2 linked regions of the Xenopus tropicalis genome follow. The main gene of each other region encodes a partner of the protein of the gene in region 2 in a complex. Links are inferred from orthologs where the notes say so. Each region holds a gene or a part of one and is shown on either strand. Other genes may lie near its edges.

Evidence for each region. The genes of interacting proteins can lie anywhere in the genome.
Region 1: the proteins of ednra (region 2) and edn1 are in contact, whole or in part, in a cryo-EM structure (PDB 8HCQ), measured with the Homo sapiens proteins. The link is inferred for Xenopus tropicalis from reciprocal best matches to the Homo sapiens genes EDNRA and EDN1. Residues at the interface, in NP_001948.1 of Homo sapiens: Tyr68, Gln72, Thr73, Lys74, Tyr129, Asp133, Ile136, Asn137, Lys140, Leu141, Gly144, Arg145, Trp146, Gln165, Lys166, Val169, Glu220, Phe224, Val227, Phe229, Tyr231, His236, Lys237, Thr238, Cys239, Met240, Leu241, Asn242, Gln252, Lys255; in NP_001403492.1 of Homo sapiens: Cys53, Ser54, Leu58, Asp60, Lys61, Glu62, Cys63, Val64, Tyr65, Phe66, Cys67, His68, Leu69, Asp70, Ile71, Ile72, Trp73.

Annotation. Positions count from the first base shown.
Region 1 is NC_030682.2:91,302,093-91,307,181, forward strand, and holds the start of edn1 (endothelin-1), read left to right. Parts: upstream 1-1,724; 5' UTR 1,725-2,146; coding exon 2,147-2,207; intron 2,208-4,978; coding exon 4,979-5,089. UniProt on the Homo sapiens protein: Endothelins are endothelium-derived vasoconstrictor peptides. Probable ligand for G-protein coupled receptors EDNRA and EDNRB which activates PTK2B, BCAR1, BCAR3 and, GTPases RAP1 and RHOA cascade in glomerular mesangial cells.
Region 2 is NC_030677.2:57,644,612-57,648,917, forward strand, and holds part of ednra (endothelin-1 receptor precursor), read right to left. Parts: intron 836-4,306; coding exon 683-835; intron 1-682. UniProt on the Homo sapiens protein: Receptor for endothelin-1. Mediates its action by association with G proteins that activate a phosphatidylinositol-calcium second messenger system. The rank order of binding affinities for ET-A is: ET1 > ET2 >> ET3.

The sequences.
Region 1 (5,089 bases), on a different chromosome or scaffold from region 2:
GTCCTGGGCAAAAGTCCCTTTTTCCATTTGATTAAAATGGCCCCAAGTAAGATAGCTGTTGTTTCATACCAACACATTCTTTGAGGAGTAGATCTAGCAGATATAGATGGGTGTATACATCAAATATTCCAATTGCATGCAGATATTAACTAGTACTGAAAGTGAAAGAGGTCCCTGCATATTAGAACTTACAATCTTAAAGGAGAAGAGTATGAGACACACATTGTAAAACTAATCACTGGCCATCAAAAGCATAACAGACTGCTTAATGTGTTTTTAATGACTGTGGGAGGAAACCAAGGCAAAAAGATGAAGCCTGCACAAACACATGATAGTATTCAACCTGCACAAAGATGGTGCCCTGGTCACAATCAGACTTGCAAGGAAGCCCCTCTATATAAAAGAAAAATGATTGTATACTAAACACTTGGATTGTTAAAAAAAACACGCTCATTAACACCTTATTTGCTGAATTCACTGACCAGAGTTAAGCAGTGCCCTGATTTGTATGGGTGCATGGCCATCTTCATGGTTGTAAAGAAGGTACAACTGTAGGGTTGATCATTTGGTAGGCCCTGCAAATCAACAAGGGACCCCAAATGCTGCATTTGCATGGGGCCCTAAAGGAAAAATGGGTTTCAGGTGACCTGGGCAGGAGCACAAACATACCAGGGTCATGTTTTAAAACAGAAGCCAAACAGTCTGCTATTTATATAGAAAAAAACTGGAGCCCATGTAATGAATGTTTGAACAGATATTGTGGAACAGTTTGTGTTCATTTCATACACCACTAAAAGTGAGTTTTTATACATAAACTAAAAAACCCTTCCCTGTAGTTTCTAAATGGAAGCAGTGTCCGGTTGCACAATGGCTGGCTCCTGTAAGGACATGCATTGCTACAAACTAGAGTGCCCTGTAGACAACATGTGCCAAGGTAGTGGGATCCTTTATAAATCCATTCAGCTTTGCACATGTATGCCACCTTTTCATAACTTTAGACTGATTTAGTACATATGGGTAGAATTATTGCACAGCACAACATATCTAAATTACAGGAGCTAATCTTTTAATCCAAATGATAAAGGGGGTAATCCTAAAACTGCCCCCAAAGTATAGGGAGCCCAGTGCAGCCTGATAAGCAGTTTTTTTTGTTTTCAGAGTTTGGGAGGCATACAATTACTTTGGTATAGGGCTATATTTCTTAAACAGTTGCTCCACTGCTTTGCTTGGGGAAAATAAAAAGAGAAACAGTGCAAATGTAGTATATGTAGTATTTCGGCATCTGTGTTATGTGCTCTGATAGCTTCAAGGAAGGCGTTGAGATTTTACAGCAACAAGCCAGCCACTGCTATGTGAAATCAGTATAACATTTCTACATGCCAGCCACAGTCCAAATGAAGATATATGAGTCCCAGGCACACAAACACACACCATCTCTGGCATTTATACAAAAGAGAATAGTGAAGTATTAGCACATTCTTCTTCTTTAATCGTCAATGACGATAAATATCCAGTTCTTCCAGGTAGCAATGATATTTAGTTGACAGGTGAAGCAAGAACTGAAAATACCAGAGCTTCTGTATATCACTCTGGAATTCTGCCTTTTTTTAATGCATATGCAGCGCCCTCTAGCGGCAGGAACACAGAACGACGAGGCTTTAATAGGTAAAGAGAGGGAATTTCTCAGTTAGCCCTGCCCACGGTTTGTCAGAGAGACGGCGTCTCCCTCTCTGAAGTTGCCAGAGATTTCCTCTCCAGCCTGCCCTTATCTCAGTCCGCACGTTGTACTCGGTGACTAATAGCACAATAACATTGTCTCGGAATAATATAAATTGAGGCTGTTTACAAAGTCCATGGCGGTTGAATATAAAGCGAAGTTGGCTGCACCGTAATCACTTGGCACTGTTGCACCGGAGTGGGAGCCCCTCATCCTCTCTCGCTGGACTTTGGATACTTAATTAATCGCGTTTGTTTTATCTCTATTTACTGGAAACTTTTTTTTTTTCTCAGATTCACTTTATTTTTATTGAACTCTGAATAAAGGAGAATTAAAGATCGAGACTGACCATTTTGGGGATTTTTGAACTTGCGTTTTTGAAAATCATTTTTACTATTTTCATTAAGACGATACCTATCCGGCTTCGTTATGGATCTACAAATAATTCTTTCTCTGCTGGTTGTCCTTGTGCAAGGAGTCAGTGCAACAGGTAGGGACCTGGGTGCTGTGTGCGGCGCAACCAATTGCGTGATGTACTGCCCTACCATACTGTATGCATGCATTAATACTCAGGTTCATACATGGTGGCATTATATTGGGGGGCTAATATTAGACATTGGCCATTTTTTGCCTGATACATTATCCTGGAACACCTAATGGTTGGATATTGAATCCATCTGTTGGGAAAGTTTCCATAAATGCCGCATATTAGATATTAACAGAAAAAAATGAACTTTTTTTGTTTATTTCTATCTTCAGACTCTCTAATACAGACGTAGATGTCATTTTCAGAAATGTGTGTAAGTGGATTGTGCTGCCGGGGAAATAATGCGGTTACCTTGTTTCAGGCATGGACAGGTAGCAGCGCATGAATTATCGCATACCATATACTATCGTGCATCACCTTTGGCGGTTTATGAGTTAATTGGCAACTTGGAAGCTAAATAATGTTGATTTATGTTCATGTAGGGCTTTTTAGGTATTTTTAAACAAGGGGTTATACATTGACAAGGGGAATACTGAGGATCTCATCTGAGTGCACTGGCAAGGGAAGCAAGTTGGAGCGCAGCGCAGTGAAAATGCTGATTTAGTAAATATTGTAGCTGCTGTGTGATGTACCACCAGGGGTAGCTTAGCTTGGGAGCAGAGCCTATAGTCTGTCTTTATGGGGGAAAGCAATGATCGCACAGGGGCATTGCGGAGAAGTATCTTTGGGAACAACTTGGCAGCGCTCTCCCATCAGGTGCAGCCCAGAGCAGATCGGATTATTATGGGATGGGGAATGCGGGGCACACAGGGTTATTATGGGAAGGGAAATGCGGGGCACACAGGGTTATTATGGGAAGGGGAATGCGGGGCACACAGGGTTATTATGGGAAGGGAATGCGGGCACAGGTTATTATGGAAGGGAATGCGGGGCACACAGGGTTATTATGGGAAGGGGAATGCGGGGCACACAGGGTTATTATGGGAAGGGGAATGCGGGGCACACAGGGTTATTATGGGAAGGGGAATGCGGGGCACACAGGGTTATTATGGGAAGGGGAATGCGGGGCACACAGGGTTATTATGGAGAAGGGGGAATGCGGGGCACACAGGGTTATTATGGGAAGGGGAATGCGGGGCACACAGGGTTATTATGGGAAGGGGAATGCGGGGCACACAGGGTTATTATGGGAAAGGGACTGTGGGAGAGTACAACAGGTTCTGGTTGTTAGGTGGCATAATCGCTGCGGAGACTAGAGCTGGGATTGGGAAATGAAATAATAGGCTTAGAGACTGGCTTTGTCGCGGCTTGTAGGAAGGGACAGCCCATACATAGCGAAGGCAGACAGGTGAGATTCTGGAGAATCCGTGATTACAGGGTGGGGGTGTCCCCAAAGGGAGAAGCACTGCTGCCTAGAGTTACTGCTTCTGAGAATGGGGAAGGCTTTTGCCATTGCCGGTACCTGTCAGAGACTGAACTGCTGTGACCTGATGCCTGGGGGCCTTGCTCGGTGCCATAACTGGGGCACAACTCTGAGCCTCTGTAGGTACCGTGTGACACTTCTTATTTCTTTTGATTGCTGGATGTAGTGGTGCTGCTGCTATCACTTTAGCCAGGAATAATTCCTAGTAACGCCCTTTTAAGATTTGGGGCTACTTATATCATTTATAATTTATATATCCCCCCTCACAAATGATTCTGCCACCATGAATTCGCGGAGACATCCAGATTCCCTACTTAATATGTGCCTGACTAGTACCTTGACTAGTACCTGCGCGATAGTATTAGTAACCTACAGACAGGGCAGTATCGGTAAAGGGTATTGTTGGTATGGGATATTAGTACCCCAAAAAAGACTGAGCAGACAGGGCAGTATTGTTGGTATAGGTAGGGTATTAGTAACCTAGAAGAGATTGCGCAGACGGGGCAGTATTGTTGGTATAGGGTATTAGTAACCTAGAAGAGATTGCGCAGACAGGGCAGCAGGTGTTTGGCTGCTATGTAAATGTCCCGCACTAAATGGCTGAGCCTCGCACCTGCAGCGCCGCAGCGACTGACTAAACACTGGCTGATCCCCTCCAGCGTCAGGCGCTGCTGCAATCACAATCCATTCGTGCTGTGCGGCCTCGCGTGTTCGGTCCTGTCCCTTGTGCTGTTTATAGGAATGTAAGTGCCTGTACGGGGCGGCCAGATGGAGTATTTAATAACAGCAGCTCCAGCTGAGCCAACAGGTTCTGACTGTCACGCAGTGCTGGCTGCGTGCATTAAATGATTAGACACATTCACTCTTTCAACAGCTACACGGCTGCCAGCTCATCCCGGAGCGCAAGGATCAGGCAGCAGATAGAACAGGAGGCAATGCATTCACTATAGTTATATGTATAGGGGAGAGCTGCTATTAGTTATATGTATAGGATATACAGGAGAGCTGCTATTAGTTATATGTATAGGATATACAGGAGAGCTGCTATTTAGAAAAGCACATCATTAGGTTATAGCCACTGTGTGTGCCAGACTGCTGTCTGTAGGATACATATGAGATTAATAATACAGCTCCATTACGGCTTTGTAGGGATGAGCGATTGTCATCGCCTGGGCTGGCAGTGCGGAGCGGTCACACGGCAGCGAGGGCTGCAGAGAGTTGTGTGCATGGCTGGGAATACACGGGAATCAGGTGTCTCTCTGGGAACAGACGAGGCCTCATTGCTCTGCACTTGCTAGAACTACATTAGTCTGTCTCACATGCCTGACACTTCCATCCTCTCTCTTTGCAGAGTCTCTCAGTGACAGCGCCAGACTTGCTAATGAGCCCCTTGCTACAGCACAACAGACAAGTTCGCGTCGCTCATCTGGCGCCCCCTTGCGATCTCGTAGGGTTAAACGTT
Region 2 (4,306 bases):
TCCCGTACACTACATGGCTGGCCCGGCTGTCTTCCCTTAACCAAACCTGTTCACTGAAGTATAAAACAGCCTGAACTATCATGGAGATCCTAGATGGCGATGCTATTACATGGTGACCCTGTGGTCATGGGGAGACAGGGTGACCTAGACCGGGGGGTTTACTTCCTCTGCTGTTGCAAAAAAAAAGTCCCCACTCCCCACAACTCTCTGGTAGGAGCAGGGATTTATATGTGGGCTAGGGGATGGGGGCCAGGTAGGGATTTTCTACTCTGTTTTGGTCCCCTCTGGAAATGTTTTATTTTGCATGGGGGCCCAGGGCAGAGGTCAAAGGGAAATGTTCTTTTGACTTCCAGCTTTACAGCTATTGTACAGCAGCCTTTGCCCTGCAGGACAGGACTATATCCTTGCAGACAGTTAAAATAAAAGAGGTTGGATTCCAGACAGCTGAAGTTCTACAAATGCATAAAAGCTTAAGTACAAAAAAATGCTAAAAGCAGTTTATCAGTGAGTACATCTGTTGTTGTGCCTCGCCCCGCCCCCCCTTTCAAGTACAGCAATTTCCCAATTATTCCGATGCCTGTCAGTTTTGAATTTGTACTAATAAAAAGCTGTGTCCAAATACATATACCAGTAATAGTTAATCCGCACACTGCAAGAGTGATAGGGTAACAGCGTTATTTACCTGTTTCAGGTGCTCACTAAGAGCAATCCGTAGGCTTCCTTTCCTCTGGTGCAGCATTTCGCAGGTCATCATAGTATAAAACACCCCAGTGCAAGCCAAAGGCACACAAAAGTAGCACCCAAAGAGCCACCAGTCTTTTGCAACTTTGTAGAACTGCAAAGAAAAGAGAAAACAGGAATTAACCAAAAAGTTTCAGTTTTCTCATGCCACTACATCTTCTGCATCTTTCTGTCTCTCAGCTGCTCTTGGGCCATCTCTTCTTATCTTCCACTTCTGATTTTTATATGGTGTTCTGCAGGTTATTTTGGAATAAGACATGACAATTTGGTCCTGGCCTACAGAATCATTTTGGGAGATTGTAACTCTGTGTTTTCAAGCTGGCAAACACATGGTGCTAAAGTGCCCAAAACAGCCCTGTCTGACTTTTATGTGAAACATCTGAAATCACTTGTGTAAGTGCCTTGCAGGTAATGTGCATAGCAGTTAATCAGGGTGATCTGCAGCATTTTAGTGCTACCTGTTTGGGTTTCTTGAAACTATGGCATTTAGACAGAGTGTCCCACCCTGTGTGCTATTGGCCTTAAAATTCAGCTTATATAAAATACTATTAAACAGTTAAGTATTGCGTGCCTATATCACATTTGAAACTTGTATGGAATGAGTTATCTCAAAGGGGCCCTAAAAAGGGGGTCTCTCCTGTATTACACAACCCAAATGTAAAAATTGTTATACAGCATCAGACTTGCCCCCATGAATACCAAACTGGCTTATATTTTATATATTTAGCCCTGACATATTACACTGCTTTTTGCATAGAAAGATGTGATTGCTCTGGGACTAATAGTTGTAGCTTATACATATTGATCTCCATGGTATATGATTGCTAGAGCATTAAAAGGGGGCACGTAAACAGTTATCAGTTGAAATGAGTAATGTTTAGTCAGTTTTTAGTAACTAAGATCAACTTTCATGTCTAATCAGTGGAGGGGCCAGAATCATAAAGGGATTTTAAAACCTGCATACAAAACAAGGAAGCTGGGTTTGATGATCGTTGTTGGCCCCTCCACACGTCGGCTCTTGGAGTGACAGGGGTGAAAGATCAGTATATACTTCATTTAGACTAAGATGGGGTTTTCTGACCTTCTTAATATCCACTACATAAAGGTCCCCTGGGAATTCTGGAATGTGAAAGCCTCTTAAAAATAACCTAGAGGCAGAGACCAAGAGTCATTTCATTCAGATAATTGCTGCATTGTGGTGTCTTGCTGATTTTAAGGAGAGCTAATACTTTTCTTTAACAAGATCACTTTCTACAAGGCTTTTAAGGTTTATCCTGTCTCTATTTAACAGTCATTTATTGTACAACCAAGGGGAACACAGTATATAATGCCATTATTTTCGTATCTGATATTACTGCAAAGTATAGCCACCCAGTAGATATTGTTTCCCTTCCATTTAGCTACATTGAAACACAGTACACAGTACACAAACACAAATAATTCAATTTTTTTTTTAAATGATCTCCTGTTCGTCTGTTATAATAAAAAAGTACATTGTATTTCATCTTAAATAAGCTACAATTAATCCTTATTGGAGGAAAAATAATCCTATTAGTTTTAATTAATGTTTATATAATTTTTTATTATTCAAATTATGGAAAGATCCCTTATCTAGAAAACCCCAGGTCCCAAGCATAACATAACAAGTCTTATATATAATTATATATATTATATATATAATCTTATATATATATATGCTTATGGTACAAGTATAGAGTCCCTGATCCAAAAACCCGTTATCCAAAAAGCTCTGAATTATGGGAAGGCTTCCCCATTGTCTCTACAATAAGCAATTCAAAAGGTTGAAAAAAAAAACGTAAAACCAATACAATTTTTTGAATAAACTTATTGGAAAGTTACTTAGATTTACATTTTCTTTAAGTGTGCAAAAAAAATTTTGGGTGGAGAACCATCATTTGAAAGATAGCATACCATATATTTATAATTACCTAAATGATTGTGTTACCCTGTTGGGGATGTCAATAGTGAAAATAGTGACATTTACTTAAGTGCAAAAGGCAACGTTTTCCATCCACAGGCTTGATAAAGGGCTGAATTAAATCCTGAAACATTGCCTTTTGCACTTAAGTAAAAGTCACTATTTTCAAAATAACTGGAGTGCTGCTGTTTTCACTATTGATATTGTTTTACCCGGGCAGAGGGTACAGTGTGCACCTGGGGCTACAAGAAGCTGTTTTTCCACCATGTAGCACACCTTAATTGATTTAATTCCCTGATGGAGGATGGTTACACTGATGCAATCAATATAAAATCTCTTAAATCTCTAATGAATATCTAAAACTGAGAACCACCATATCCCTTGCCTGTGCTAATACATTCTGCATAGATACAACAGCACAATTTATTTATCTGGGTTCTAGAGATTATTCTTTATTTGTATGGCACTGCTATATTCCTCAATGCTTTACAGAGATTATACATCTTTCAAACACAATAGGGACAATTTTATCAGGAGCCAATTAACCTGCCTGTATTTTTATGGGGTGTGGGAGGAAAGGAGTACCCCAAGGAAAACCCACCCAAGCACGGATTGAACACAAGCAGTATGGCAGTTGCCACTAGCATGGATAAATACACATATGACAAGACAAATGCTCGCTGTAAAGGGTAAGCTTACCATAAATAAAATGTAAATCCTACATAAAACAGGGCACATTATAACAGGACCCAAATATTGCTAACCCTGCTAGTTATATATAAACCAAATTAACAGTCACATAAAATGTCAAACCTTGAAAACATAGTCAAGGACAGGAAGCACTGTGCCCACATAGTTCCATTAATTCAAAAACCCATCTGGCACCCATGTAATAAGTGTTGTATAAAATGCGACAATTCAGCAGTAAAATTCTGACCAACAAAATGTTAGGACTCATCATTATACAGTAAATGCAAATTGTCTGTGACATCAATAGATGTGGAAATAGGGGCTAACGTGGATGGTGACCCTTGAGGGCTTCAGTGCTTAAACAAATAAAGCTGTGTGGAGAGCCTGCGACTGATTAAATGCAGGCAATGAACAGCGCACCCATCTCATTTTACATGAGGGCTTGACTGAAGAGAAATAGACATCCTTTTGTTATCCCTACCGGTCCAGCTGGAAACAGTTTTCAACAGGAAATGTGCATTCAGAGCGACTTTCTTTATGCAGCAAGATACTATTTAACATTCATTGGCTCTTGCATAGTGTGCGCGCTATGATTTAGTTTCAACTTCTAGCGGTATGTGTAACCCTGAGGGTACATGCGGCAGAACAGGGGGTACTGATGAATTAGTTCAGCTTAATTAAAAACACCACTCTCCGTCTGCTATACTGAATACGTTTGGGGTGCATCTTGTACTTGGAAGGAAGAAGGCATGGCTACAACGAACATACAGGAAAATGGTTAACCAACTGCGATTTATTAGCACTATGCATACCCTACAGTCCAAAGCAATCAGTGGTTCGCTCTTCTACTCTGTTACACCACATCCTGCAAAATGGGCCAATTGTTACAACTTTTTTTTAAAGTAACTATAGCATCTGGGACCAATATCCTGATAA